Tamandua tetradactyla: one gene and its partner. The protein of the gene in region 2 purifies or fractionates together with the protein of the main gene of each other region. This does not show direct contact. Links are inferred from orthologs where the notes say so. Each region holds a gene or a part of one and is shown on either strand. Other genes may lie near its edges. The genes, in order: SH2D2A and LCK.

Region 1 (16,198 bases), on a different chromosome or scaffold from region 2:
CCCCAGGGGGGCAGGGGCTGGCGGGGCAGAGGAAGGGCTTGTCCAGCTACAGAGTTCTCAGAATGCAGCTGTGGGTCACGTGGATTCTGCAGAGAGAAGGACGAGGCCTGGGTCACACCCCCCAGTCCCTGCCTCTAAGCCTACCTATAACCTCAAGAACCAAGACTTTAATAGATTTTGGCCTCTATGTGGGGGGGTTGGGTGGGGGTGGGGGATCCAGAGCCCTAACATTCATTCCTTTCAACAAACATTTCCTCAGCATCTGGTCTCTGTAACACACACAGATGTTTTGGAAACAGAGATGAGTAAGTCCCAGCCCCTTCCTCAGGGAGGTCACACTTTACTGGGGTATGGTGGAGAGACAGAAGGTGATGGGAGGTGACAGGGGGAGAAGGAGGTGGGAGGGAGGTGGGTGTCCCAGGTGATCAGTGCCACGGCAGGTGTGCATAATGCAGGGATGGACCCTGTTCCCTGAAGAAGTGCAAGCTGGTCTTAAAGCCTGATTAGAAGTGTGCCAGGCAGCAGGGGGGAGCTTGCAGAAAGCGACTACAGGCAGAGGGTCTGGACTGTGCAAATCCTAGGAGGTCTGAAAGCACTTGATTTGTATGGAGAAAGGTGAATAGTTCTGGAGAGACGGGGGCAGCCGGTGGCAAGGCTGAGGAGGTGGGGGATGCTTCCCCCGGCCCCCCCCCCCCCCAATTATGAAGGGCCTCGTGCACCAGGCAGTTGCTTTAGATAAATCACTCTGGCTTTCTTGGGGCATAGTGGATTGCAAGTGGCAAGACTGGTGGTTAGGAGACCAGTTAAGAAACTCCTGGAAAAGTCCTGGTGAGGGATGATGGTGGGTGGAACTAGAGAAATGAAAAATATATTTAGTAGACACCCGCAGGAATTGGTGGGTAGTGGTGGGGTAGGGCTGAGGAGGGAGGGGAGGTAGAGGGAGCCCCGGGGATTGTGGCTTGAAGAGTAATCGGTAAGGAAAGGAAGCACAGGGGCCGGCCGTTGTGCGGGCAAAGGGTGGGGGTAGCGTTGGCTGTATTTAGTTTTGAGGGTCCGCGGGACACAGGGGAGCTGACCAGAAGACTGGGAGAAGTTTGGCTGGAGACATGGATGGTAACATCAGCTCAAGGATAGCAGTGGTTGGCCAAGGCATGGGCAAGTGTGAGGCTTGGGGCTGTGGGGGATGTGTGGGGTGCCAGCAGGGAGGGAGGGGAAGGGTCAGAAGAATGGGGGCAGAGGCAGAGAGGGAGGCTGGGAATAGCCAGTAGGTGCCACAGGTCACATGACCCGAGATACTGATTTGGACTGATCCGTGAGAAGAGGGGGGATGGGCGTTGTGGGTGGGCAGATGAGGAAGAGGGAGGGAGGAGTGTGCAGGAGGGTGGGGCTGCCCCCTCGCTGAGCTCATCTGAGACAGCCCAAGGAAGGCTGAGGGAGGCGTGTGCAGGCGGGGGCTGGGACCCACGGCCCAGGGCGGGGTCAGCTTCGGGCCGGTGTGAAGAGGACCTGATGGACCGGTGGACACGGACAGGCTGCAGGCCCAGGTGGGGGAAGGCGGGGGGGCACACTGCCTGGGGGCCCCTCTTTTCTCTGTGAAGTTCCCACATGCTGAGAAGTGGAGGGGCTGGGAGCTTGACAAAAGGGGGCAGTTCCAAGTGACTTGAGGAGAGAAGAGGGAGCAATTTCCGGGTCTGTTGCCTCAGGCCTCAGACCCAGGCATCCAATCTCAATACCTTCTTTACTCTCCCCTACCCAGCTTTCAGAAGTCCTTCTTATAGTCTAACCCTTCCCTGCATCCCATTTACCTGGCCTCTTGGGACAGGCCTGGACCGGCACTTCCTTAGGATGGGGTGTCCAAGGATGGGCAGCAGGTCCTCACCCCCTGACGTGGGCACCTCCACTTCGGCGTAAATGTTGCTGGCGGATTCCCCAGGGCTGCCGCGGCCCATGGCGTAGAAAGCGATGGGTTCATCAGGCTCGTGGTAGATGGGGTTGGGGGGCTTGGGAGGTGGCGGTGGAGCTGGGCGGGGTGGCGGAGCAGGGCTGCTGTAGACTTCAGAGGGCAGCTGAGGTTTGGCCGGGATGGGAGGCTTGGGCCTGGGCAGCTGGGAGGCCTAGGAGAGAAGGTGTGGCCGGCAGGAGAGGTGGTTCAGAGCAATCCAGGCAGGGCCAAAGCTGGAACCTGAGTCTCAGCCTGGGCCCCTCCTCCCCCCTCCCCGCCCCTCCCCTCCCAGCCTGAGCCCCTCCTCCCCTCACTAGCCCCTCCACCCCCCACCAGCCCTGCCCCTCCCAGCTAGCTCTTTCCTCCTTTTCTGTCCTCCCCCTTCCTGGGGTCCAGCCTCCTCCTCCTCGGTCAGCCATTCCAGCCCAATACCTCCTTGGGCTGCCTTGCAGCCTCCTGCGGTGGGGCTGAGGAAGCCTGGCCCTGTTTGGAGACTGGGCTATACTGGGGGCCTGGATCTTGGTTTTCACTTCCAGAGTGGGGTTCTTCAGTCCTCAGGGAAAGTCCTGCGGGCTCCGCAGTCTGCCAGGAAAGGAGGTGGCCTGAGGGACTTGGTACAGAGGGCACTGGGAGGCAGGTGATGGAGGAGGACAAAACAGCCTGGTCTAAGCCAAGGAAGAGGGTGGTAGTGGCACAGAACTGGGGGCTGGGCTCCCTGGGTCAGGAAAGGGGTGTGGAGATGGCAAGGGGGAGGGGGAGGGGTGCGGTGGGGGTCGCTCTGGGTGTCACTCTCCACATCTAGCATTAAATGTAATTTCACGTGGAACACAGGGCCAGGCTGGTCTCCATCTGTGCATATAAAAATGCAACAAAGCTTTAGAAGTCTTTAGACTAAAATTTTTCGGCATATGCTGTGTCTGTGTTTATTTCTGCAGATGACAGTCTGAGTGGAGCTATCCCCTTCCCAGTCGTTGTGGCACAGGCTCATGTGGGAATATGGGTGTGCACCCGCCCCACAGACCCTGGCCGGTGTGCACCCTCCCCCTGCTGAAAACTGGCCCTGAGATCTCTGGAGCTTTTGCTCTAGAGAATCATAATTTATGGAGATAGAAGCCTGATTTTTGTAGGGGCAGAGACAGCCTCAGGGGAGATGAACCTCACAGTGGGAAGGTTACTATGCTTTCAGCTCAGGATTTAGCCCTAGGTTCATGAAAGCTGTGCACATGCCACTCCTTCTGGTAAGCCAAGATTCTGGGGCTCTCCCTATGGTCATGCATGTAGATGTCTCCACCTAGAGATGTGCAGGCACCACAGGCTTCGTGGGTCCATATCAGAATTATTTCTCCCTGCCCAAAACCTCTACTCTCTCTGCATTCCCTTTATGAATAAAAAGGGGCATCTGCATTAAGAGTCAACCTCAATAGCTCCACCTCTCTCGCTCCCTCCTTACATCTAATCAAATACAAGCCCTACTCCTTTCACTGCCTAAATATCTTTCACATCTGCCTATTTGTCTCTATGCCCACCACCCCAATTCAAACTGCTCCCCTGAATCCTCTCTTGCTCCCTCCAACACCTTCTCCTCTTAGGGTGGCAGAGGAATCTTGCAGAAACTTCACCTGCAACTCTCCAGTGCCTGTGTGCTGCCCCTAGGACAAAGTCCACACTTCTGAGAGCACGAGTTACAAGACTCTTCATAGAGTTTGGGGCCACCGGGCTTGGTTTCTGCCCCAATTCCCAAATTATCCGTCAAACTCCTTCCCGCTGGCTCCTCCTCAGCCCTATATGTCCTTAGACCCAGTTTCTGCTGCTTGGGTATCTTTGGTCTCTGCCCAGTCCTCACAGGATTCCATGAGAGGTGCCCAAGGCACTGTCCCTACTTCTTTGAACTGACCCCAATCAAGCTTCTTGAAACAGTTCTTGTCAAAGTCACCAACTCCTCTTGGCTTACTTCAATGGTCAATTCTTGACCTACTGGCACTCCCTCTTCCTTGACTCACTTTGTTTGGTTTCTAGGACATCATTCTTTCCTGTTTTTTTTCTTTCTGTCTCTGGCTGCTCTTTCTCAGTCTTCTCTGTAGGTTCTCCTCATTTCTGCAAACTCTAAATGCTGGAGGCTTGGCTTTTACTTCTTTTCCATCTAATCTCACACCCATGAGCGAGATTTTGCTCCTCCTGAAGGTTTCAGAATCCATCTACACGCTCATGACTCCCAAATGTTTATTTCCAGCGCTGACTTCTTTCCCAAACTCCAGACTCATGTTTTCCAACTGCCTACTTGCCATCTCCATTTGGATGTCGAATGGACATCTCAACTATGCATGTTGAGAATTGAACTCTTGATCTAATCCCTACACCTCCTCCCCAGATTTGCTTCTACTATGTCTTTCCACTTCAGTCAATGACAACTCCATCCTTTCACACTCATCTAATCCTGCAAAATCCTGTCACCTCCATCTTCAAAACAGACCCACCATTCTATCACCCAATCCCTCCTCACCTCTCATCTGAAATACTGTCGTAGCCTCATCTGGTCATCCTTGACCCTCCCAAACTTGCCAGGTCATGTCATTTTTCAACTTGTAAATTTCCAGTCCCATCTCATCTCATTCAGAACAAAATCTCAAATCTGTACAAGGGTCTACAAGGGTCCTGTTCCCTTACCTCTCTGATCTAGTCTTCTGTGGTTCTACCCCTCAATCACCCGCACACCCTCAAGCTCACTTCCTCGCTGTTCTCACTATTCTTCAAACACATCCAGCATCCTCCTATCGCAGGGCCTTTGCACCTGCTGTTCCCTGTGCCTGGAATGCATTCCCTCCAGTTGTAAGCTCCACTCCCTCCCTTACTTCATTCAGGCTTCAGTTCAAATGTGCCATTTCCAGATTGGCCTTCCCTGATGTCCTTAGGTAAAAGAGCCCCAACCCTGTCAACTATCACTGCTTGGTTTTTCTTCTCAGCACTTACTTATCATGACCTTACATATGTATTATTTGTTTGTTATCTGTATTACTTATTCACTGTCTGTCTCCGCCCATCAGAATGTAAGTCCCATGAAGGCAATGATATTTTCCCATCTATTTTCCTGCTTCCCAGAACAATGCCGGGCTATGGTAGGTACCCAGTAAGTGTCTTGATATTTAATAAATAAATGACTATGTGCCTAACTGCTGTCTCCCTGCCCCTCCTGTCTTTGGGTGCTAGGACCCCTCTCCGCGTGCTCATCTTTCTCGAAGGGCTTCCCAGGAGTGGTGACGACAAATGAGGCCAGGGTGGGTCGCCTGCTGGGATGAGAAGGTGCCTGGAGCGGACAGGCACTCCGCCGGGGGCGCTGGGCGCTGGCCTGAGTCCCGGGGTCAGGGTCCGGGGTAGGGGGTGGGCGGCATACCTGGCGGGCGCAGGGCTCGGTGAGCTTTTCCCCGTAGGGGCTGAGCGGGCACGCGGTGTAGTGTCGCAGCAGGTCCTGCAGCCGCTCGTGGGCGCTCTCCTCGCCCAGCACCACGTGGCGCCCGTCCCCGAGCTGGGCCAGCAGGAAGTGGCGGCAGCAGGTCCGGCTCCTGCAGGGCGCCATTCGAGGTCGGACCCGCTCCGACTGCCAGGCGGGGGCCACCGGCGCTAGGCGCCACCCCTCCCCCGCCCTGCCCAGCTAGGATGCGGTTCCTTCGGCGGTCGGGAGAGGAGCGAAGAGTCCCGCCCCTCACACGTCCGTCAGCGCGAAACCCCGCCCCCTCTCAACTCGAAGCCCCGCCTCCAGGGCGCCGCCCCGCCCCCTCACCTGTAAGTCAGCACGAAGGTCACGGCGCTCTCACTGAAACGCACCAAGTAGCATCCTCGCGGCTTGGGCTCCAGCAGCTTCTCGGCCTCCCTGTGGGTGGCAGAGAGAAGAGACGGAACCCCTCTCTGACCCTCTGGGCCTCGCCCTGTCTCCCCGGCTCTCGTGGGGGCCTCCCAACCCCAACAGAGCACCCTGAATTGCCTAGAAAAGGACTAGGGTGGGGGTGGGGAGAACTGGGGGTGTAGAGGGACTGAGAGTCCCCGTCAGGAGGTCCGCCTGGGGGGCTGGGGCTGCAACAGAAGCGTTTAGTAGGTAGACTTCTAGATTTCAGAAGTCACAAGCTGACCTGAGACCGAGAAACAGAGAGGCGGAAAGCATAAGGGCTGGAGGCCTTAAGACAGGAGGATAATGCGGCTAGAGAGAGAAACTGAGGCACAGGACCCAACTGCTCAAGCTTCTCTCATTATCTCCCCCAGGAGAGAAGCCTTAGTGAACGGTCTGGGAGTCGGGAGACTAGCGCCTCAGTCCCAAACCAGCCAAGGGACCCAGGACGTGCTCCTCTCCAGGCCTGTTTCCTCTTCTGTGACTCACCTGCGGGTGATGAAGCCGTGGAACCAGGCGGGGGCTGCCCCGCGCTGCACGAGCCAGTGGGCCTGGGTCTTCTGGAACCAGTCCCGGATCTCGGCCTGCAGGGACAGGCCCCCTTCCTCAGGCAGCTCCTCGGCTTTCCCAGCTTCTCCTGGATTGGAGGCCACCCCCAGGGCCTGGAGAGATGCCTGGTTAGGGGACGAGTCCAAGGAGGGGGAAGCAGCCACCGTCAGCGGGCCTTCCCCTGACTCCAGGCCAGCCGCCACCTTCTCACTCTCAGGTCCAGCCCTTCCCGGGCATGAGGAGGACGAAGGCCCACCTGTTCCAATCGCCTACTTAAGGGTGTAATTATCTAGAAAGCCCTTCCCAGGGTCTTACTTAAGTCCACTTCCCTTTCGGTCAAAAGGGTATTTCATCCAGCAGCAGTGACTCCCTGCGTCACTGGGCTTCAGTGAGGGTGAGACAAGCATCCTGGCCTTCCTGATGGACAGAAGGTCAGTCCCTGGCCTGGGGACGGGGGTTGCAGAGAGATGAGGCGTGAAGCCACCTGGGAGGCCAGGAATGAGGGTGAATTCACCCTACGGTAGGAAGGACCAAAGCTGGACCACAGATGGGACTTTCCAATGAACTGAGAAGGTGCGAGAGACTGAGATGGGGCTCCTGAATGCACAGGGTGGATGAAGGCCACCGGCAGAGAGCTGCTGTCGAGTGCTAATTGGACTAAAGGCACTGTGATCTGGAACTGGGGGCTCAGCCTGAAGCTTCCCAGGGGCAGAGGAGCAGTGAGTGGGAGGCGAGTGGGCAACTCAGCAGATGCAAGAGGTAGGCCCTGTCTCCTTTCCGCTGCCCTGTCGGCAGCCCCCTGTCGCTCACTCCTGCTTTCTCCCTTCCCTTTGTCTATCTGCGAGACCTCACCCGTGGGAGGCTGGGAGCAGATGAGTGGGCTGCGCCCCCCAAGTCCCCACTCACCGCGGCATGCACATCCAGGGCCCTGGGGCTGGGCTGGGCCTGCTCGGCCTCCAGGGCCTGGGATCTGGACCCGGTGGGGAGGCCCAGGCCCTGGCAGCTCCTCAGGTTGGCCAAGTCCCTGGGTTGGAAGGTGCTGAAGGTTGGGGCAGGGTCTTGGCGACTCCCTGTCGGGACAAAGAGGACTGCTGGGTTTCTCAGGGAAGGATTGCCTGTCCCGCTCCCTCCCACGCCTCCTCCAGGCTCAGGGGGTCCTGCCTGCCTCCGACAAGGGACCAGGATGGGGACCTTAGGATAGCAGGAGAAATGCAGAAGGGACAGCAGGGAGGATGTTCCAGGGATGAGCAATAAGGAGCCAAAGAGACACGGAGGGACCACGCCGGGAATTAAGCTGGTCTTCTGGTGGCCAGGAAGTCCCACCATCAGGGAGGCAGGTCGCTTTGGGGCAGGCCTGTCTTTGGGGCCAGAGCCCTCGGCCACCTCTTTCATCTCTCCAGCTCACTCCTCTCTCCTCCCTGTGAAGCGCTCAGCAAACCCCATCACCTTTATCCTCAGGATGAGCAGACCTGGAGTCACCGAGAAGGGGAAGGGGGCGGGGGCCCTGGCGGTCAGCCTTGCCCAGCTCTGGCTTGGAGTGGGGCTCTCGTGCCTGCAGTGGGGGGCTCTGGCCCACGGGAGAGGGCAGGATGATGAGAGATTTGGGGCTGTCTCGAGGTCCCCTCCTACCCACATTCTCCAACTTCACACTTACCTTGAGGGCATATCTGGGCCAGGGGGCACTCCATGGGGAGAGCCTAAGAAGGGAGCTTCCGGAGCAAGGTGTGTGTGTGTGTGCGCTCTGGAGAGGTGTGTGCACACTCAGCAACTCATTTCCCCTCTCACTCGGGGCCCCCGGGGCAGGAAATGTCGCCTCACCCACGGCCTTAGCCCCGGCTGAGGACCCACGTCATGGAAAGCCCTAAGACAATCGTCCCTCCCCCCGGAAGCTGGCCCATTGAGGGAGGGTGTTTGGGTGCTGGGAAGTCCTTTCTGCTGTCTGAACCCTATCCCTCCTGATTCTTCCTCCACTCCCCACCCCAGGCTGGGACTTGAATTTCTCCCTCTCACTCTAGGCTTCTGCTTTCTCTCTGGAAAATGCACCCCTGCCTTTTGGTCCGTTCTGCAGTGGGAATGCGATGCAACCTCAGAGGGATCAGCCCTGCAGGGTGCTCGGGTCCTTCAGAGGTCCACACTCAGGCTTATGCTCCCAGAACACATGAGGAGGGGCTGGGGCTGCAGCAGGAAGGACGTGGGTCAGACTTCTGGAAGGACTTTCTGGGGTCACAGGGAAACTGTGAGGCAAGGGAATAGGGAGGAAGGGTCCTGGCTTCCATCCATGAGCGGATCATGGAGCTGGGTTAGGGCAAAACCAGTCAATCTTGGAAGAAGGGTGGGAGAATTTCCTCCAACTAAGCAGGAACGATATTAGTTATTGTTCATTAATACCATGAATGCCCACATGTAGTGTGCACATGCCCCTCCCCATTTAGAGGACCACTCTGTCTCATATGATCCTCGCAGACTAGGAAGAGGGCAGACAACATTATCTCAGTTTTCCAGAAGGGTCAGCTGAAGCTGAGTCAGGTTGAGTGCTTTGCCTAGGCTCTTTCAGCATGTTAGGAGCTAGTGGCCCAACTGGGTCCAGAAACTCGATCTCCTTTCACTAATATTTTAAATTTTTTATTATTTATTTATTTTTAAATACCAAAAAAAAGTAAACAAATGCAAACATTCGTAACTTTTGATCATTCTTTTCACTAATTTTACCGTGATTCAGGCCAGTGGTCCATGGAGATGGACCAAGCGCTGTTCTTTTTTCTTTTTTCCTAACTTTTTTTATTGTAAAACATAACATATATACAAAACAAAGAGATAAAAAAGCAATAGTTTTCAAAGCACTCTTCAACCAGTAGTTACAGGATCCCAGAGTTTGTCATGGGCTACCATACCATCCTCTCAGATTTTTCCTTCTAACTGCTCCAGAATGTAGGAGGCTAGAAGGCTAAAATATATTTTTTATCATCACGATCGACATTTTTGTGTATGTGTGAAAAATAACATATATTTTTATTGTTATAAAAGCAATAAATTTCAAAGCACAGCACTACAATTAGTTGCAGAACATATTTCAGAGTTTGACATGGGTTACAATTCCATAATTTTAGGTTTTTACTTCTAGCTGCTTTAAGATACTGGGGACTAAAAGAGATCTTAGTTTAATGATTCAGCAATCATATTCATTTGTTAAATTCTGTCTTCTCTGTATAACTCCACCATCACCTTTGATCTTTTTGTCCCTCGCTTTAGGGGTGTTTGGGCTATGGCCATTCTAACTTTTTCATGTTGGAGGGCTCTGTCACTAATATGGGGTAGGGAGATCAAACTGGTTGATGGTCTGGAGAGGCTGGGCCCTCTAGGTTTCAGGACTTACCTGGTCCAGGGAGCCGTCTGGAGGTTGTAGGTTTCTGAAAAGTTATCCTAGTGCATGGAATCCTTGTGGAATCTTAAATATTGTCCTAGGTGTTCTTTAGGATTGGCTGGAATGGCTTTGGTTGGGGCAGGCACTGTTTTCTTTAGGCTGAGAACTGACAGAGCTAAAGGACTATGTCCCTGCCCTCAGGAGGCCAGGTAGAGGACATGAACTTGAACAGATATTTATAAAGCCTGTGGTGAGTTGGTGGTATGGGCTGGTGCGATGGGAACCTACCTCAGAGGCTCCTTGTCCAAACTTGTGTATTTGTGCAAGAGAAAGCAAGTGAGAGAGAGAAAAAGAAAGAATGTGTAGGAGGTTGGAACTTCAGAAGAGGAGATGGAGCTAGAGCCATGGAGGGTGAGTAAAGTTGAAGAAGATGGGAAAGTGTTCCTGGAAGAGAGTCCAGCATGTGCAAATGCACCAACATGTGAAATGGTGTGATGTAAGGGGTAGTTGCAGATGAGTGTGTGACTATAGCAGATGGGCTTTAAAGCCAAGGAAACTGCTGGGTCTTCTCCCCCTTCTAGAGTCTTAAGGAGGTGGGGCTGCCCTCCCCTTTTGCTCTTTGGGTATGGTACCCCATATCCCTCCTCTCTTGCTCTCATAGCTTGCTCCAGCAAGGCTCTCATCTTCAGAAATTTTAGGTAAGAGCTATCTAGGTTCACAAAAGGCTCCCAGACTCTAGGGGACATTTATAGTATCTGCCTTCTTGTTCATTGCTGTTTCTCCATCCCTTGGAATTGTGCCTGATATATAGTAGGTATTCAGTAAACATTTGTTGAGTGAATGGATGATGAATGCTTTCCCTCAGTGTGCTCTGCATCGAAAGCAACACATGGCGGGCTGAGCAACCATCTAGCTAGGTGACAAGATGCCACATCCCCTTCTTGAAGCTCTCCTCCCAACACTGTGAGTGAGTCTCTTGAGCGCCCCTTCTTTCGGCTTGCGAGATGGAATCAGTTAGGCTAGGCTAGGTTAGCATAACTTAACGTAATAAAGAACACTAAAATGTCAGCGGCTTGACATGACAAACATTTGTTTCTCACCTGTGCAAATTCACTGCAAGTCTGGACATCTCTTCAGGGCATCTGTGGCAGAAGTGGTGGTCCAGCCTTCCACGCTGCCCAGATTTTTTGATGCCTCCATATCTACACACGTTTCTGCAATCTCTGTGACTGGGGAAAAGGAGCACGGAGCATTATGCACTGGTTTCTAAATGTTACTTTCCTTTTTGGAAGTGAAACACACCACTTCTGCACTCTTCATTGGCCAAAGCAGATCACATGGGATGCCTAATTTCAAAAGGTCAGGGATGTGTATTTTTCCCTGTGTCCAGAAATGGAGGAGAACCAGCTATATTGGCCTAATCTTGTCTACTGCAGGTGGGGAAGAATAGCAACTCAATTATCCAGTCGTGAGCACAGGGTTAGTAGGTGTTTTAGCAGAGCTCAGGGTGAGAATCAAGGTGCTAACACTTCATTGCGAGCTGCAACCAAGAAAAAGAGAAGCATGGCCACAATAAAACGAATGCAAAACAATAGCGCTGCATTGGCTACCACTTCAAAACGAATTGCAAACAGAAACAGCCAGTTGCTTGATAGGCATTTTCATTTGGCAGACTTTTTCCAGAGAGGGTGTAAGATGAAACCTACCTTGGCATCGTCCACTAAAGGGAGAAAACAGGAAGAATTATCTGTTCAACTCTGTCTTGCCTCTCACTTCTCATTGGTCAAGGTTTATCCCGTACGGACTGACCTAGAGGTGACATCACCTGCACCCTGTGTGACCTCATAGCCCTGGCATGTGGTGTTCATTATAAATCAGGAATGGAGGGATCGCCATGACAGGGAAAGAGAGAGATGGAGGAGGCACACCGGCTCTTAACTGCTTCAGCCTGGAAGTGACACATGCTGCTTTGGTACTTTTCATTGGGTAGAATTAGTTAGTTGGCCCCAGCCTGATGGCGAAGGAACCTGGAAAATGTGTAGAAGCCACGTGGATGCTCTGGACGCACCAAATGCCTCTGCCATAGCTCTGAAAAGAGAAATTAGGAACAAACTCACTTAGACATTCTAGCTTTACTGTTTTGGAAAATATTTTTAATTTGAAGTTTCCCAGTGAGAGAGTATTCAGTCAAAAAGAAAGAATAAGCCCCCTGCTGGTGGGGCTTCATGTATTTCTAATCTTCGGTTAGAAATAATTCTCAGTGAATAATATTGCCCATATTTTGCACGTGTATGAGTGTACTGCAGTGGCAATTTTAGTGTAGGCTGCCTGTTGAATCCCCTAGGGGCCTCAAAAAGTGCTGATTCCCAGGTCACACCTCAGAGACATCGAACCACTGAGGATGGAACCAGAGCACAGTCTTTTTGAAAGGGTTGAAAAAGCCTTCTTGACCAAAAACGGGAAGAGAGAGGAAACAAGATAAAGTTTCCGTGACTGAGAGATTTCAAATAGAGCTGAGAGTTCATTCTGGAAGTTATTCTTATGCATTATATAGATATCCCTTTTCAGTTTTTAGTGGATTCGATTAGCTAGAAGGAAACACCTGAAACTGTTGAACTGTGTTCCGGTAGTCTTGATCCTTGAAAACAATTGTGTCACGACACAGCTTTTACAGTGTGACTGTGGATTGTGAAAACCTTGTGTCTGATGCTCCCTTTATCCAGACAGTGTATGGACAGATGAGTAAAAAATAAGGACAAAAAATGTCCTTAATGGGGAAGGTGGATAAGGGGCATGGGATGTTTTGAGCGTTCTCTTTCACTGTTATTTTTATTCTTATATGTATATTTGTTTTTTGAGTAAAGAAAATGTTCAGAAGTTGTTTGTGGTGATGAATGCACAACTATGTGTTCGCACTGTGAGCCACTGATTGTACACTTTGGATGATTATTTGATATGTGAATATATCTCAGTAAAATGACATTTAAAAAAGAAAGAATAACAATGGCAGTTCTTATATTTAGAATTCATCATTTTCAATAAAAATCTGTAAACTAAATATCTATATCCCAGGAATGCAAGGGTGGTTCGAGATACCAAAATTTGTCAATGTAATACTAAATACATGGAGTGAAGGGGAAAAAACACATGATTATTTCAGTAGATACACAAAAGGAATTCAACAAAATCCTACACCCTTCCTGTATAAAAACACCCAGAAAGGTAGGAATTGAAGGAAACTTAACATGATAAAGGCCATTTATAAAAGCCCACAGCCAACATCATAATCAATGGTGAAAGATTTAAAGATTTCCCCCTAAGGTCAGGAACAAGACAAGAATGCCTACTTTTATCACTGATGTTCAATATTGTACTAGAAGTTTTAGCCAGAAAAGTTAGGCAAGAAAAATATATAAAAGATATCCAAACTGGAAAGGAAGAAGTACGACTATCTCTGTTTTCAGATGACATAATTTTATATATATCAAGTTCAAAGAAAATTAATAAATTCAGCAAAGTGACAGGTTAAAAGGTCAACACACAAAAATCAATTGAGTTCCCTCCAGATGGGTCCCTGGTCCATATAAGTCCTGAAACCTTAGCCCAGCCTCTCCAGAATATCAGATAGTTCCATCTCCCTACCCCATATTAGTGACAGACTCTTCCAATATGAAAAATTTAGAATCGCCATAGCCCAAACATCCCTAAAGAGAGGGAAATAAAGATCAAAAGTGATGGTGGAGTTATACAGAGAAGATAGGTTTAACGAATGAATATGAATGCTGAATCATTAAATTGATATCTTTTTTAGTCTCCAGTATTTAGCAGCTACAAGTAAAAACCTAAAATTGTGAAATTGTAACCTATGTCAAGTCTGAAATATGTTCTACAACTAATTGTGGTGCTGTGCTTTGAAATTTATTGCTTTTTGCATATATGTTATTTTTCACAAAAAAAGAAGGAAAAAAAACGTTGAATGTGATGATAAAAATAATATTTAAGCCCTCTAGCCTCCTATATTCTGGAGCAACTAGAAGGAAAAATCTGAGAGGATCGTATGGTAGCCCATGACAAACTCTGGGATCTGTCCTGTAACAGATCCTGTAACTACTTGTTGAAGAGTGCTTTGAAAACTATTCCTTTTTTATTTCTTTGCTTTTTATATATGTTATACTACACAATAAACAAAGTTGAAAAAATTGATTGGGTTCCTGTAAACTAGCAATGAACAATCTGAAGAGAAAATTAAGAAAACAATTCCATTTACAAACAGCATCTAAAAAATAAAATATCTAGGAATAGGTTTTACCAAGGATCCAAAGACTTGTAAAATGAAAACTACAAAACACTGCCAAGAGAAATTAAAGAAGATCTAAATAAATGGCAAGACATCCCATGTTCATGAACAGAAGTGTTACTATTGTTAAGATGTCAATATTTCCCAAAGCAATATACAAGTTAAGTGAAATCTCTATAAAAAACCTTACACCCTTTTTTTGTAGAAATAGAAAAACCAATCCTCAAATACATATGGAACCATAAGAGGCCCCAGATACTCAAAACAATTTTGAAAAAGAAGAGCAAAGTTGGAGGACTCACACGTCCCCATACAAACCTACAGTAGGCAAAACAATGTGGCGCTGGCATGAAGATGGACAAACGGAACAATGGAACATAACAAAGTCCAGAAAGAGTCCCGTATGTCTGTGGCCAAATGATTTTCGACAAGATTTCTAAGTATGCAAGCGGGGAAAGAATAGTCTCTTCAACAAATGATGCTGGGAAAACTGGATATGCAGTTCTAAAAGAATGACGTTAGACCCCTTCCTCACACCACATTAAAAAATAAATCAACTCAAAATGACTCAAGGACCTACATTTAAAAGCTAAAACTATGAAACTCTTAGAAGATAACATAGGACCAAGTCTTCATGACCTGGTGTTTAGGAATGGATATTTAGATATGTCACCCAAAGCATGAGCATCAAAAAACAATAGATACATTTGATTTAATCAAAATCAAAAACTTATTTGTATAGGAGAGAATTATCAAGAAAGTGAAAAGACAACCTAGACAATGGGAGAAGATTGTAGCAAATCATATGTTGGATAAAGATTTAATATCCTGAATATATAAAGAATTTGTATAAAGCAACAACAGAAAGACAAACAACCCAATTAAAAAATGGGCAAAGGATTGGGTAGACATTTCTCAAAGAAAATATACAAGTGACCAATAAACATATGAAAAGGTGTTCAACATCACTCATCATTAGGAATATGAGAATCAAACCCAAGAGATACCACTTCACACCCACAAGGATGGCTACTATTTAAAAAGTGGAAAATAACAAGTGTTGGAGAGGATGCAGAGAAACTGGAACTCTAGTGTATCGTTGGTGGGAATGTAAAAAAGTGCAGCAATTGTGGAAGACAGTTTGGTAGTTCCTCAGAAAGTTAAGTACAGAATTACCATTTTTATGCCCCAGCAACTCCACTTTTAGGTATATACCCAAAAGAATTGAAAGCAAGGACTCAAACAAATATTTTCATACCAATGTTCATAGTGGCACTATTCGCAATGGCCAAAAGATGGAAACAGCCCAAGTGTCCATCAATAGATGAATGGATAAACAAAATGTGGTATATCCATGCATTTGGAATATTATACAGCCATAAAAAGGAATGAAGTTCTGATACATGTGACAACATGGATGAACCTTGAAGACCTCATATTGAGTGAAATTAACCAAGCAGAAAAGGACACATATTGTATGCTCTTACTGATATGAAATATTTAGAATAAGCAAATTCATAGAATCAGAAACTAGAATACAGGTTATCAGGGGCCAGAGTAGGGGTAGGGGATAAGGAGTTAGTGTTTAAATTGTACAGTTTCAGTTATTGTGACAGAAAGCATTTGGTAATTGGTGGTGGTGTCGGCAGCATCGCATTGTGAGAGTAATCAACAGCTCTGAGTTATATATTTGAATGTGGTTAAAAGGGGAAGTTTTAGGTTGTATATATGTTATGTGAATAACCATTTTTTAAATAAAATAAATGGTGCAGGACGGGCGACGGTGGCTCAGTGGCAGAGTTTTCACCTGTCATGCCAGAGACCTGGGTTTGACTCCAGGTGCCTGCTCATGTAAAAAAATAAATACATAAATAAAATAACATGGTGCAGCCACGGTGGAAAGCAATATGGTGGTTCCTCAAAAATGTAACTAGAAATTTACCATACGGCTTGGCAATTCCACATCTAGGCATCCACCCAAAGAAAGTGAAACCACGTCTCAAATAGATGCGTGCACACCACAATTTACAGCGGCGCTATTTGCAATAGCCAAAGGTGGGAACAACCAGGTGTCCATCCACAAAGGAACGGATAAGCAAAATGTGGTACATGCACGCAATGGAATATTATTTGGCCCTAAGAAAGGATGCCCTCTAAGAGGCGTGCTGCTAC
Region 2 (15,362 bases):
CAGCACATTGAGGGCTCTTGGTACAGGCCAAACTGAAATCAGGCCCTTACGTCCTTTATCAAAGTACCCTCCTCTTCTCTTCACTCCTTAGGAAGTCACAGGGAGATGGGGAATCCTGAGAGGTCATGAAGAAGGTGGGAAGGTGGGGTATCCTGAGAGGTCATGGGGAGATCTTGAGAGATCGTGGAGACAGCTGGGGGCAGGTGTAACAGGGTAGGCTTCACTCTCCATTCAAAACTTGATCATAATGTTGATAAAGTTCTTTCTCTACCATATAGTTTCTCCCTCTGTCTAGAATGCATGTTTCTGGGTACAGTCACCTGACTCAATGTAGGTAAGTATGTGTATATGGAGACATGTGATTCAGAGAGCTTCATGTTTATGTGTGCATACCTGAGGGTTTGTGCCAGGCCCTGTGTGCAGGTGAGTATATAAAAGAATGAGAGTATGTGTGGCTTGTGCCTGTCTATGTAAATGAGGTCAGATATGCATACATCTATCTGTATATATAAAATGTGGGCAGATTCTCTTGGTCTTACTTTGACTAAGATTGCTGGGTAGCCAGAATGATTAATCAGATTAATAAAACCAGGCCAGTAAAAAGAGAATCAAAGTTAAAGCTTAATATATATTTCTCATCATCTGGAAAAAGTAAACAAACAAACAAATGAAAACCTCTGGGTTAACAAACCAAGATATTCTCTCCTCCTACATCAGGAACCAAAGGGCAAATGTGGGAATTGTGTAAATTCTGGACTGCCTCTGACCGGGACCCCTAATGTTTTTGGTCAAACTCAAGGCTATTCCAGACCCACACAGCATTTTGAAATTTTGTAAAAGGCCACCCCTCCCTGGGCTCACAGAGGTGAAGTGAAGGCTGGATTTCAGATGCCCCATCTCCCCTTCTTGCACTGTGCCCAACCCACCAAACATACACAGTGGCCTTGCGCATGTTGTGTGTAATTGATCAAAAAGCTCAGGCTGACTCCCTCTAAGCCAACGTGCAGGTGATCTCACTGCCCTCACCTCCCATGTGAGACATGACTCCCAGGGGTGTAAATCTCCTGGCAATGTGGGTCAGAACTCCCGGGATAAGCTGGAACCCAGAATCAAGGGATTGAAAAAGCCTATTTGACCAAAAGGGGGAAGAGAGAAATGAGGAAAAATAAAGTGTCAGTGGCTGAGAGATTTCATACAGAGTCGAGAGGTTGTCCTGGAGGTTATTCTTATGCATTATATAGATATCTCTTTTTAGTTTATGGTATATTGGAGTGGCTAGAGGGAAGTACCTGAAACTCTTGAGCTGTGTTCCAGCAGCCTTGATTCTTGAAGACGATGGTATAATGATATGGCTTTTACAATGTGACCGTGTGATTGTGAAAACTTGTGTCTGATGCTCCTTTTATCTACGGTATGGACAGATGAGTAAAAAATATAGATGTTGGGGGGTGCAATGGTAGTTCAGTGGTAGAATTCTCACCTGTCACGCAGGAGACCTGAGTTCAATTTCCGGCCCATGCACTTCCCCAAAAACAAACAAGCAAAACAAAAATTCAACAAATAGTACTGCAATCACGGGATACTCACTTGGAAAAATAATGAAATGTGACCCTGCCATACAGCATACAAAAAAAAAATCAGTAAAAAATATGGACGGAAAATGAGCAAATAATAGGGGGAACAAAGGTTAAAATAAATTGGTTAGATGACAATACTAGTGGTCAAAGAGAGGGAGGGGTAAAGGGTATGGTATGTATGAGTTTTTTGTTTTGATTTCTTTTTCTGGAGTGATGCAAATGTTCGAAAAATTATCATGGTGATGAATGCACAACTATGTGGTGATATTGTGAGCCACTGATTGTAAACCATGTATGATTTATGTTTGTATGTTAAGATGTATCAATAAAAATATTTTTTTGAAAAATCCCAGGTTGAGAAAAGCTCATGAACTAGATCTTCTCATCCCAGAGTTGTTTAGGAATCATATCACTATAACTCTGGTTCTTGCCAACTTATTCACTTTTATCAACTCCACAGATGTTATCTTGTCTGGCTGGGCTCAAGGTGCATCCTCCCCCACCTTTTTTTTTTAAAAGGATACCACTTTCCTTTCCTCAAACTATAGACCTATTCATTTATTCTGTTCAAAATGTGTGCCTTCTTAATAGGGGGAACAAATGTTGAAATAAATTTAGTTTGAAATACTAGTGATCAATGAAAGGGAGGTGTAAGGGGTATGGTGTGTATGGTTTTTTTTTTTCTGTTTTCATTTTATTTTTCTGTTGTCTTTTTGTTTCTTTTTCTGAATTGATGCAAATGTTCTAAGAAATGATCAGGATGATGAATCCACAGCTATGTGATAATATTGTGAATTACTGATTATTCCATATGTAGAATGGAATGATCACATATTGGGAATGTTTGTGTTTCTTTCTGTAATTTTTTTTAATTAATAAAAGAATTTTTTTTTAATGTGTGCCTTCTTACTAGCAGGAACAAATGTTAAATAAATTTAGTTTGAAATGCTAGTGATAAATGAAAGCGAGGGGTAAGGGGTATGGTATGTATAATCTTGTTTTTCTGTTATCGTTTATTTCTTTTTCTGTTGTCTTTTTATTTCTTTTTCTGAATTGATGCAAATGTTCTAAGAAATGATGAATATGCAACTATGTGATGATATTGTAAATTACTGATTATATATGTAGAACGGAATGCAATGTTAATGTTTTTGTTTGTTTGTTCTTAATTAAACCTGGCTTTGTTTATTTATAATAAATAAATAAATTTTTAAAAATGTGTGCCTTCTTCTTGCCTGGGTTTCTCAGGCTAAAGTTTAGGTCAAGAACATACCAGCTATTCCACTACAGGCCATTTTGTCCTCTGGAACACCTTGTGGCAAAGTGTATCAGGAATAATTTTAAAGATTTTCTTGGCCATTGTTTCTGGCCAAGATTTGCTTGTGGGCAAAGTTGCATATGTTCAATGAAGAGCCTTAGTTGTGAATGCCCACACAGAACCCTCATTACAGTACTCAAGAATCAGGGTTGGTGGGCTGGGTAAATAATTTCCAGTGGGTAAAGCAAAGATGTGTCCCATGTGCCCTCCTTTTTTCATAGAATATCACTTTTGAATGAACTTGGTGGCTTCTGGCTGCAGAAACAAAAAGATAAACCTTCTTTTAGGTGCGAAGCAAGCCAGGTTTAATATGAACTGGGAGTGACTTGGATATAAAACTGATTCTTCCATATTTATGCAATAAATAAGGGCTATAGCACCATGTTTCTAAGGTGGTAGTTTGGGTAGAGGTTCCCTAACTAGTATCTTGTATGTACCATGCAATTCCTTTCAGTGACTTTCCTTCCTTGGGTCGATCTATGTGCATTTTTACGTTATAGTGGTTCTATCAGGACAGAGCCTTGTTTACGGCTTGGCAATCTGTGCTGCTCTATAAGGTTTTTGGAAATCTGCAAGTCATCGAGGTCCAGCTCACCACACACATGTCATAGTGACCCGATTTTAATCCCAAGGTCTCCAATCACACTCACTGGCAGGAGGTCTTTGGACAGGTTACTAAACCTCTCTGAGCCTCCCTCAGTTCCTTCATCTACAAAATGGGAATAAAGATAGGAGCTGCATCTAGAGTTGTAGTAAACATTATATGAGATTAACATGGTGCTTGGTATGTAGTAAGGACTCAATAAATAAGAATCATTGTTGTTTGTGACTGGGGTGGGACATTTATTGCACCAGTCTCACACATTTTCCAGACTAAACTAATTCATCATTTTCATTTTCCTTCATTTTATATGATTTTTGCCACGTCCACGGACTACTTTTTCAGTTGTAATATATTTACTTTAAAAGGAACACTTTTAAATTACCATAAATGTAAACCAGTATCACCAGCCATAGATAGATAGTACAAATCGGTACACATTAAAATAAACACATAATGTAATACACAAAATAACATTTTTAGACATCCATCCATTATCCCCTGAAATCAGCTCATACACATCAATGGTGGACAGGTCACATTTTAGGAAATGCTGCACTGCGAGGGAGAACATTAGGATTGGGCCCTTGTCCCTGGGTTGAAGGAGACCCAGTTTTTTTAGCTGGTGGGTCTATCAGCAAAAACTTAACGTGCCAGCCTTTGCACTAGTGCTGAGGACACAGAGGTGAGCAGACAAAAGGGGTTCCTGTCCATTCGGCCCCACGGTCTGTGATAGAGGCGGGCACTGCTCTCGCAGGTCACTCCCTTTTCTTAGGAAACCATATAGCCTGTCGTCAGCTCGCTGATGGGTGCTGTCTGTGACTCCCAGCAACACTGTCAATGCAAAACAGTTCCACTTGCCTGGTAGCAGCATCTCAAATTCACCACCATTACCCATTCGCAAGCTAAGAGGTAGCTAAATCCATTAAAACGATGAAGTAGAGCTCCATATGTTGTCGTGGAAAAAGAGTCCACAGATAACATGGCAAGCAAGTTGCAGAACCAAATGTAGAAAATAGGCCTATTTGCATTTAAATACGTATATATGGGGAATTCCTTTACACCAGCTCCTGTGCTAAACCTCTATTTGCATGATTTCGTGTAATTCTCACAATAATCTTATGAGGTAAGTGCTACCATTATTCCCATTCTACAGATATAAAAACTGAGCACCCCCCCCCCCAAAAAATGTACAGGGTTACTGTTTGGAAGATGGAAATGTTTTGGTAATGGATAATGGTGATGGTAGCACAACATTGTGAAAGCAATTAACAGCACAGTAATATATGTTTGAATGTGATTAAAAGGGGGAATGTTAGATTGTACATATGGTAATAGAATAGAATTTTTTTTAAAGAATCCATGAAACTACACTACTCAAACATCAAATCCTAAGTTCAACCGGGGACTTTAGTTAATAGCACAATTATAAAAATGTACTTTCATCTACTGTAACAAATTTTTCACACCAGTGCACGGGGTTAATAATAGGCTGTATGTGGGAATCTTGTATTGTATGTATGCTCGTTCTGCTAACTCACAACTTTTCTAATAAAGAAAAAATAATAATTGAAAAAAAAAAAGGAAATTTAAGACCCAAAGAGGGTAAGGAGTCTGAGGCCTCACAACAAACAAGTGGTGGACCTGTGAGCTGAACCTCGGTCTGCTCTGCCTTCCTCCACTGTGCAGGCTCTTAACCGCTGTGCTCTTAAGCAGCCATATGTGGAAAAGTCTAGAAGAATGCACACCAAATTGCTGAAAGCGAGCACATTCCAGAAGTGGACCAGAGGGGACACATTTCTTCTATTTTTTATATGTCTCTGTACTTTTTGAATTTTTAAAAACACCCATGTGCTAATTCTGTAAATGAAAAACGAACAGAAAAACAACAAAACCGCTACTAATGGAAAAACTCTACCAAGAGATGCCATCATTTGAGGAAGACCGACTGCGCAGCCCGTCTTCTCTCCGCCATACCCATCTCAAGAGGTGCAGCCCGTGGAAAAGGTCACTACGTAAAAAGGTTCTGCGGCCAAGGAAATTTGGGAAACCGCACTAGACTAAATTAATCAGATTTCTTTTCTTGGGGGATACTTTCAACGCTCTAACGCTCTGACATTGGTTGTGAAACAGAGGGACAGAGTTTGTAACTGAAGCCATGTGTACCTGGCCCCAGAGCCCTTTCCTTTCCAGGTGCCTCATGGAACTAATGTTCTACGGAAAAAGCTTGGGAAATGCAGCGCCGTGTACTTTAACCGTGCAGTTTGTTGTTAGAGGCGCCGGCCCCGGATGGTATCTTGGTCCTGCCTGTGTCCACCCCCACCCATCTCCCCTGAGAATTGCGTTTGCTGAGTTGAACCTGACCTTGAAGCCATCGGCTTGTGGGTGTGGGGATTGATTTTTACCAGTGCGGGTGTGTTGTGTGTGTAGCCTCTGCTTCTGCCTCTGAGTATACATGCACACATGTCCTCATGATGATATCCAGCCTGTTTCGGACAGGGAGGCCATGTTGTGGGACCCCCCTCTGAGGTAGACTCCTGACCTCAGAGGTAGCCCAGAATCCAGCCAGCCTGAGTTCTCACACCCACTATACACAGGAAACAACAAGTTCATATGCAAAGCTACACCACAAGGGTTGAGGGAATGGGTGGCTCACTGGCCTGACAAGGTGCTGAGTGGGTACAATTCTGGGCGAGGGCAGCCTTCCCTCTGCTGCAGCGTATGCATGGGGAGGGAGCACCGAACTTTCGTTAAGCACCTTCTACGTGGCAGGTATTAACCAGGGCATGTCACGGTCATTATTTTCTCTTTGATTCCCCACAAGCACTCAGTAAGGGAGGGCTTTATCATTGCCTCGGGTAAGGAAACTGAAATACAGGGGGTGAAGCCACTCGTCCAAGGAAATGGCAAAACCGGAATTGTACCTAGGTCGGCCTGAATCTAACACGCGTGCCCCTTGCACTACGCGACACCTTTGGCTCTCTTACCTTTGGTCTCTACCCTCATGGTACTCAAGGAACAGCGAGAGCCCAGGGATGGTGATTCTGGCTTCACGTCCCAAGCTCTCTCCAAAATGGGTTTTTGCTCTTCTTAAAACTGCCCTAATTCTTCCAGGAAGCCCTCTAGATCCCCCTGAGAGAAGCCTTCTCGCCTCTGAACCCTCGGTCCTTTCTCTGTCCCTATCTACGGAGCCCTTCCTCCCTTTGGGAAAAGCCTCTGTCCCTGAGCCCCAAAGATGAGGGAGAGATGAGGGCCACTGTCTGATTCATCTATTAGCACAGGAAAGGAAGGGACTGCTCATGTCAGTCAGCCAGGGGGTGGAGGAGTCCCCCTGCAGCACCAATGAGCCAACACATTTCCAGCCCCCACAGGCCTCGGACCTGGGGACAGAGGAAAGGCTGGGACGTGCTGACTAGGCGGAAATTGTGTGTTAAGAAAAACTCCAGTGGCGGAGGACATGGCAGGGGAACCTGGGATGTTTGGTTGAGGTAGGGGACTCCCCCACTAAACTGAAGGCTCAGAAGTAGAATGTGAGCGGGTGGGCGGGTAGCTGACTATGCCTTCCTGGGCCTCCACTTCCCTAGGCTGGAAGGAGGACTCGGAGGGCCTAGCTGGCCTGCATACAGCGGCCGCTTGAGGGCTGAAGCAGGAGGGAACAAGAGGAGTGAAGAGGACATTCTGCAACTCTTGGCTGAGGCAGGAGTGGCAACTCTCCAGAGAGAAGTTCAGAGTTCCTTGCCCACAGCCAACTGCACCCTGTCCAGGATAAAAATAACCCTTCCTCTCCTTTTCTCCCATCATCCTCTCCCCCTCCAACTTCCCAGAGTCAGAGCAGATACTTTCACCCTGGAGAGTCTAATCCAGATCATAAATATCCCCTTATGTAGCCATCCATTCCTATAGGGCGACCCCTCCCTCTCTCAAGTAATGCTGGTCACTGAAGATAAAATTGCTGCTCATGCCTCCATGCGGATGCCCTGGGTGGTTCCTCTCAGGAGATTATGGTCACTAGATCTGCCACAGGACACAGAAGATTCCTGGGTCCCCTGGACTCAAACCTGTCCATCACTCTACTCCAGGGAGGGTGGTGTGGGGGTCTCGATCTAGGCCATTATGCTCCCCCAGTGAAGCCAGAGCACTGCGTTCCCATCGTGGCCCGGCCACTGCCTTGCTGAGGCACCGTGGGGAATGAGCATCTTGCCTGATCAGAGTCTCAGGAGCCTCCTAAGTCAAATAAGGAACTGTAGTTGATGATTACTGAAGGCCTTTTAAATATCTGACATTCCATGTATCAGCTCTCTAAGAAACAGTGAGGCAAGGACTGATGGTGGATAGTGTGGCAGAGGCAAGAGCCACCCACTATGCAGGAAAGAGGTGAACCAGTCGCCCTCCATGCCTTCCACCTGACCACCAGCAAGCTTTCTCTGTCCCCCAGCCTGAAGGGCTGTTGCCTACCCTGGGACGCCTGACCCCATGCTCAGCTGCAGGCTCATTGCTGTCATCCCCAACCACGCCACAGCCCCTAGACCCCTGTTCCCAGTTCCCCTTACCCTGTTCCCAGTTCCCCTTACCTGCCCAGCCCGGGAGCCTTCCGGCCCATTCACATGGTCCTCCTGGCCCGGCCCGGCTGCCCAGTCTTGGTCTCAGCTCCCCTCGCCGTCGTAGCCTCTGCCTACCTCTTCGCGCCCACGTCCCACGCTGACTTCCTGCCTCCTCCTGAGGACTCCGCAGCCAACCCGGCCCCAGCAGCCCAACCACAAGCCTTCAACACCCCAAGCTTCCTGCTGCCATAGCCCCCCGCCCCTCAGCCCCTGGGGGTCCCATACATCTCCAGGGGCAGGCCCGACTTACCCGAGGGTGAGCACTTAGAAGATGAATGTTGGATGGAACCTCATGTCCTGGCCCGCAGGGTGCTCCTGGACAGCCCTTGAGCCCAACGAGCAGGGACAAGCAAGGAGCAAGCAGACACAGGCTCAGCTTACAGGGAAAGGCAGGTAGCACCACTGTTGCTGTCTGACGGCTTCAAAGTCAGCAGAAAGGACAGCACCTCTGTTCAATAGTTGGAGATTTAAACAACACCCATGCACAGTCAGACAGCAGCTCACTGGGTTGCTACAATCGGTAGGTAGAGCAATAGTCATGTTGTCTCAGGGGACAGGACAAGTGCTTTATTAAAGTCAGAGGCTAGGCTAAAACCCCTCTTATAGACAAAATCCTGGACAACCCGGTTTCAGGAAGCTGGCAGGTCAACACTGCATCTTCAGAAGGGCAGAGTAACAGACCCTACGAATTATGGGCAGGGCGATACGTACTAATTATGGTTGGAAAGTGAGGCGACACTTCTAATTCAGGGAGAGGCAAGGCCACAGCCCCTGGGAGAGATGCAGAGTCTGCCAGCATCTGCAACAGGTGGAAGGCAGAACAAACTCTGCTGCCCAGGCACCCAGGTGCAGGCAGCAGACTGGTGGAACTTCCTGCTATAGGCAGGATCCTTGTCATGAGCAGCAGGCAAACCAAGGACCTCCCTTTTGCCTGGGGCCAGTCTGACGGTGGCATTTGTCATGGGCAGAGGGCCAGGAACCAGGAATCTGAAGAACTCCAGGTGAACTCTGGCAGGCCCAAGAGTTGGGCCTTGACCCCACCCAAGGAAAGTGTGAATGCATCACCATCATGGCCTGAGCCCTGAGCAAGCTGGGGGAGGGGAACCCACAGAGTATTGTTGGGGTTTGTGAAATGGAAGCTGATTCTGTGTGCACCTCAGCTGTGAAGGTGGGAGGGGGGCAGGAAATGGGTGGGGGGAAGAGGAAGCCTGAGTTGAAAAGCCAGACAAAGAGAGTAACACAGAAACAAAGGCAGAGAGATGTAAAGTAAAAAACTTACAGAGCGCACATTGCTCAGAGCCAGGGCTCCAGGTCTGCGGCAGGGCACAAGGTCCTGCTCACCTTGCTGTGCCATCCTGAGCATCTCACCGTCCTTCTCTGGGCCATTAGCACTATTGTACTAATGCTACTGGGTGACAGTAATGACCAGTAATAGAAAGCTCACATTTATTAAGTGTTTACTGTGAATTATCTCACTTAAGCCATTTCTGACTACCTTGGAGTGAGAATTAGTATCTCAATTTTAGAAGTAAAAAAACAGATTCGGAGGTTGAGGGACCTCCTCAAGGTCTAATTGAAATAAATGGGGGAACTGACTTTGAACCCAGGTCTACCACATCCTGCATTCTACACCTTTCCAGTTTTTCCAGGTGCGGGTGACTTGGGATTTTAAATTACTTCCCAGTTCTGAGCTTGAGTTTCTGGCAAAGAAGCTGAGAGATAAGACAGAGAACTAGAACGGGACCTTCTGGTGGGGATGGGATTCCTCACTACCAAACAGGCCTTCTCCCCTGCAGGAATCACTGGTCCCAGCGACAGATCACAGACACTTGCACTTCACATGAGTAAATGACTACAGAGACTTTGTTGGAAATTAGAGAGGGTGTTTATTGAGAAGCCGGGGGTGGGGTGGGGGGTGGAGTGGGTTCTCCAGGTAGGGGTGGGGTAGGGGGTGGAGAGGGCACTACCTGGACATGACAGGATGCCTGAGCATTGTACTCTCAGAACTTCTGAGAGCTGAACCCTCCCTCACCCTCACCCGCTGTCAGGTGCTGGGGCCTCTGGGGCACCCTGCTCTTCTTCCTTCCTAGGCGGGCTGGGGAAAGGGCAGCGGTTGGCCCTCAGCAGAGGGTGAAGCGACGGGCACTGATGTTCATGCGTGTGAGGCCGAGGTGACGCAGTGGTGGGGCCAACGCTAGGCCGGCCCCTGGCTCCAGCTCCATGTCCAGCTCGGCCTCGTCCAGCAGCTCCTGGTGCAGGTGACAGGCCTGGTCCACCTTCAGCCGGTGCAGCTGAGCCCGCAGTCGCAGGAGCTGCCCAGCCAGATGCCGGTCCTGAGCCTGCATCTCCCGCTGCAACCAAGAGGGGACGTGAGCCTTGGCTGGACTAGTTCCGGCCCTCACGCCAGTTATCCCTTCCTGTCAACACTCTGGGCCTTTGTGCTGGTTGTGTCAGTCCCAGCTTCCTCTCGCCCCAGCCTGATCCCTCCCCATTTCAGATCTGGCTCCACCAGTGATTCTCAAACTTAGCTAGGGAGCTATTGTTAAACAAATACAGATGCCTGGGGTGCCCTCCTGGATCAGCCAACATAATCTCCAGGTTGAAGCCTGGGCATCTTTACATTGCAACATGTTGGGTTGAGAACCACCTGTTCAATACTACGCTCCTCGGATTTCTGCCTACAGCTTAGTCACTGCCTGCTTTTATACTTCAGTGTATCTTCGGGATACAGCAATTCCCAGAGTATCTTCTCCCACCCATAACTGGTGCCCTTCTCAAGAGCAGGACGATAGGAGCATATAGTTGATTGGAGCAGATACTTTTTCAGCAGAGCTCCCTAAACAAAACACAGGACAAATCTATTCCTTGCTTCTTAGGCCCAGGACAGAGTCACAGGAATAAGCAGCTGCTGGGGGGTAGAGTCCTTTCTTACTCCCTCCCCACACCCTTGGTCTTGGGCCCTAAGCAGGACTGGCCTCTGAAAGGCGCCCCACCCCACCAGACTCACCAGCTCCCGACGAAGCCACTCAAGAGCAGAGTCCACTGAGTCAAAGCCGCAGAGGGCTCCAGATCCCCCCGGCCCGGGCTTGGCTTGGACCCTGTGCCAGACCTGGCTCTGGACCCGGGCCGTCCACTCCAGGTAGGAGGGCCTCCGTGTCTGGAGCTGCAGCTTGGCCGTTAGTGCCTTCACAGAGTCCAGGCTCTCCTCCTTTTCATCCTCTTTGCCGACTGGCTGGAATTTCTGTGGCCCCAAGGACATGGGAGCTTTGGGATAGGCTAGGGAAGGGCTGGCAATATTGCCCAGGGAGAGGTGGCAGAAGCTGGGGGTGAAAGGAGTATGCCAGGGTGTTTGTGAAGGTCCAAGGTGGGCCTGGGGGGCTGAGTGTGACAGCGTGGGTGAACAGATGGGTGTAGGAGGCCGAGTCTGCAAGGGCTGGGATTTTCCTGAACTGCTCACCCAGGGAGCCACGTGATGCCCATCCTGGAGGCGGCAGGAGGAGCCCAGCTCCTCTGACCCCTTGGATGAATTTTATTGTTTTTGCCCAAAAGGAGACACCCAGTTCCCAGAAAGGAAGTTGCTCCAGGATAAGGAAAGCATCATCCGCAACAGAATGTTGGCTCTCCTCCCAAGCCCCACGTTAAGGAGCGGGTAGCGGAGAGAAGGCTGCCCAGCTGCCCCTGTCCTCCTTCATGACACTGGCCTTTCGGCAAAGGAATAGTGTCCCGAATCCTGGCCTGGGAGTCAGGACACCATGGTTCTGGGGCTGACTCTGTAGGACCTCGGACAACTCACTGACATTCTCTGGGTCTCAGTTGGGGCAGATCAATGACTTCAAATTATACTCTGAGGAGCCTTAGGGTTCCTTGGAAATTCCTTAGGGCAGAGGGAAGGGCAGAGTTGTGGTTGGTTTCTTAGCCCCCTCACAGGACTTCAACCAGATAGTTTCCTTTTTTAAAACTTTGTGTTGAAATATTTGAAATTTAACATACACGCAGAAAAATGCACATAACTACACACCTTGAGAAATTCTCATAAACTGACCACACCTATGTAACCAGTACCCAGATGAAGCCATAGTATCACCTGCACCCTGGAATTCCTTCTTTGGGCTCCTGGCCCCTCACTATTCACCTAAAGGTAACTGCTGCCCTAATTTCTGACTACATAGGATTAAACTCTGATATAAGAATTATACCCATTTTTATATTTCTGGCAGTTCTCAAACTTTATCATGCACCAGAATTACTTGGAGGGCTTTTGAAATAGATTGTTGGATTTGCACACCGATGTTCATACTGGCATTATTCACAATTGCTATAAGATGGATAAATAAAATGTGGTAAAAACATACAATGGAATACTACTCAGCATTAAAAATAAATGAAGTTCTGATACATGTGACAACATAGATGAATCTTGAAGGCGTTTTTCTACTTAAATAAGCCAGACACAAATACTGTATGATCTCACTGATATAATTAGAATAAGCAAATTCATAGAGTTGGAAACTAGATAATCTGTATCCTAGGGGTTGGGGTTGGGGTAAGGAATGGAAAGTTAATGATTAACTGGTACATAGTTTCTGTTTGGGGTGATGGAAAAAAGTTTTGGTAATGGATGATGGCGATAGTAGCACAACACCGTGACTGCAATCACCACTGAATTACATATTTGAATGTAGTTAAAAGGGGACATTTTAAGTTGTGTATATGTTAGCGGAATAGTGCTGTTGTTTAAGGACTGTACTACACAGTGAACCCTAATGTAAACTATGGTCTATAGCTAATATAGTTAACTTATAATAATATTCTTTCATCAATTATAACAAAGGTACCACACTAATATAAAGTATTTATGATAGGGAAGAGTGTATGTGAATGGGGTATATGGGAACTCTGTATTTTCTGCATGATATTTCTGTAAGCATCCCACTTCTCTAATATTAGGGGAAAAACAACAACAAACAACTATAAACAACAACCATCCCCCAAATTTCTTATTCAGTACGACTGGGGTGAGGCCTGATACTTTGCTTTTCTAATAAATTCCCAAGTGCTGGTGCTGGTCTGGACTTCATAATTTGTATTATTTTGTATCTGTTTTTATCCATACCACAATTCCAATTTTATATTTATTTTATGGGGGTCTACCTATGATTTCATTTTTTCATTTAAAAGAAAGATTTTGCCAAAAAAAGGAAAAAAGGTCTGAAACTAGAGAACCAAAAGGTCTGTTATAAGCAGGAGTCGGTCTTATTCTTCTTAGTAATTAAGCATCTGACAGAGAGTAGGCATCAGTGTTTACGGAATAAAAGAATAATTGGATGGATGAATGGATGGATGGGTCTTCCATTAAGTGGGTTTAACCTGGTAATTGACCATTGTGAGTCTGTCTCTTGCCAAACTGAAATCCTACCATCAGAACTTCCTCCGCCCTGGGTTCCCAGCACCTAACACAGGACCCAGCAACGCAGAGGGCAATACACACTTGGTGAAAGGATGGAGTGATAGTGGATGGCACTCTCGAGGGCAGAAATCTGCCCAAAGTGGCCCCCGTAGAGGGCGCCCTCCCGCAGGGCCTTCCAGCTGTGGAAGGGGAGGGGCGCTAGCTGCACAGCTGCTTGCATTTAAGGTAGACCAAGGGACTTCCCCCACCCAAGCCTCAGATGTATGGGGGGAAAAAAAGGCAATTCCCCGTTTCACACCCACTCTTTCCTGACCTCTTATCAGAGTACAGAGGAAGAAGTGGTTATTTTTCTTTCTTTTTAAAGTCAGCGATATTGTCAGGACTCCAGGGTTTAAAAAATAAAAATACTGAGTGCTTCCTGCGACCCAGGCACTGGAGTAAGAGCTTTAGGCAAGATTATTCTCCCCATTTCACAGATGAGGTAATCGAGGTTCCCATAATAGGCGGACAATAGGAAGGGGAAAATTCTTGTGCGATTCCTTCCTCCGAGGGGCCTCCTTAACAGCTGTCTTGCCGGCGTCGCCAGCTGCCCAGCCAGTTCCTGTCCCTTTAGGAGCCCGCGCGCGCCCCGCCTGCCGCTCGCGGAGTCTTTCTGCTGGGCCTCAGGGCCCCCACCCGCGGCATGGAGTTCTCCGAACTGATCCGTACTAGCCGGGCCCAGGCCGAGCTCCTGCGCGGCCCGGAGATGCCCCCGCTGCGCGGCACGCTGTACGTCACCGGCCACCACCTGCTGCTGTCGCCAGCGCCCCAGACGACCACGGACTTGTGGCTGCTGCTGCTACGCAGTGTCGACTCCATCGAGAAGCGGTGAGACGTGGTGCGGGCATCCCCAAAGTTGCGGAGCGCGCGGTTCGGCAGGGAAAGGGGGAAGGGCAAGCGCAATTGGAGCTGCCAGACCCTTCTTTAACGTCCCATCCGATAAGGCTCGTTTCTCTTCCCCCGGTGGGGAGCGGGGGACACTGAGCCTAGAACCGTCCGTCCGCAGAGTTGCGGGTGACTCGGGCACCATCACACTACGCTGTAAGGACCTGCGGGTGCTCCAGTTGGACATAGAGGGTGTGGAAGCGACGCTGGACATCGCCCGCTCCATTGAGGTACGCCTGAGGCGCGACAGAGGCCTTTAAGCAATCCCTGTGCTGTACCGAGGGGAGTGAAAAAGGCTACTCTGAGAGGGAAATGCGCATCCAATGTCATCCCTGGACACAACTAAACGGCGGGGGCACGCAGGGGGGTCTGTGGGGAGGCGGGAGCTGCAGAGCGGAGGGCCTGGAGAGGCGCGGCTGAGTCGATTCCGACTCTCCCGGACCCCTTGACTTCCTTCCCCAGGCGCTGTCCTCCCTGGAGTCGGTCATCACCTCCTTTCCGTTCTTCTACCGGCCCAAGGGCCTGAGATTGGGCGACGCCTGGCACTTTCACCCGCCCGAAAGCTACTACAAGCGAATAGCTCGCGAGGTGGGCGCGGTCGTGGGGGCCTGGGGATAAGACAACGTCGGGCCTGGAAGGGGGGCGGGGACCGCACACTCACTCGCTGCCCTAGTTCAGGCCTTCACCCCTCCCTGCGCCGCAGACCAACGCGTGGAGGCTGAGCGAGGCGAACGAGGACTTCAGCTTGTGCCCCAGTTACCCTCGCGCGGTGATCGTGCCTCGCGCGGTGGACGACCAGACCCTGGCGCGCAGCGCCCGCTTCCGCCAGGGAGGCCGCTGCCCGGTGCTCAGCTACTACTACGCTCCCAGCGGAACCGTGAGCCCCGCCCCTCCCCAGACTCCGCCCCTCGGACCAGCTGCTTCCCTTCTTGGC

What was found.
Region 1: the proteins of LCK (region 2) and SH2D2A purify together in Homo sapiens (co-immunoprecipitation; 3 studies listed by IntAct, with this or other methods). This does not show direct contact. The link is inferred for Tamandua tetradactyla from reciprocal best matches to the Homo sapiens genes LCK and SH2D2A.

The regions. Positions count from the first base shown.
Region 1 is NC_135330.1:9,785,749-9,801,946, forward strand, and holds the start of SH2D2A (SH2 domain-containing protein 2A), read right to left. Parts: upstream 8,365-16,198; 5' UTR 8,057-8,364; coding exon 8,023-8,056; intron 7,439-8,022; coding exon 7,275-7,438; intron 6,494-7,274; coding exon 6,309-6,493; intron 5,808-6,308; coding exon 5,718-5,807; intron 5,500-5,717; coding exon 5,331-5,499; intron 2,525-5,330; coding exon 2,375-2,524; intron 2,115-2,374; coding exon 1,806-2,114; intron 87-1,805; coding exon 1-86. UniProt on the Homo sapiens protein: Could be a T-cell-specific adapter protein involved in the control of T-cell activation. May play a role in the CD4-p56-LCK-dependent signal transduction pathway. Could also play an important role in normal and pathological angiogenesis.
Region 2 is NC_135328.1:193,636,638-193,651,999, forward strand, and holds the start of LCK (tyrosine-protein kinase Lck), read right to left. Parts: upstream 8,222-15,362; 5' UTR 8,068-8,221; intron 1-8,067. Other genes in the region: protein FAM167B, read right to left, coding at 10,218-10,448, 11,105-11,356; myotubularin-related protein 9-like, read left to right, coding at 14,187-14,371, 14,550-14,658, 14,891-15,016, 15,132-15,305. UniProt on the Homo sapiens protein: Non-receptor tyrosine-protein kinase that plays an essential role in the selection and maturation of developing T-cells in the thymus and in the function of mature T-cells. Plays a key role in T-cell antigen receptor (TCR)-linked signal transduction pathways.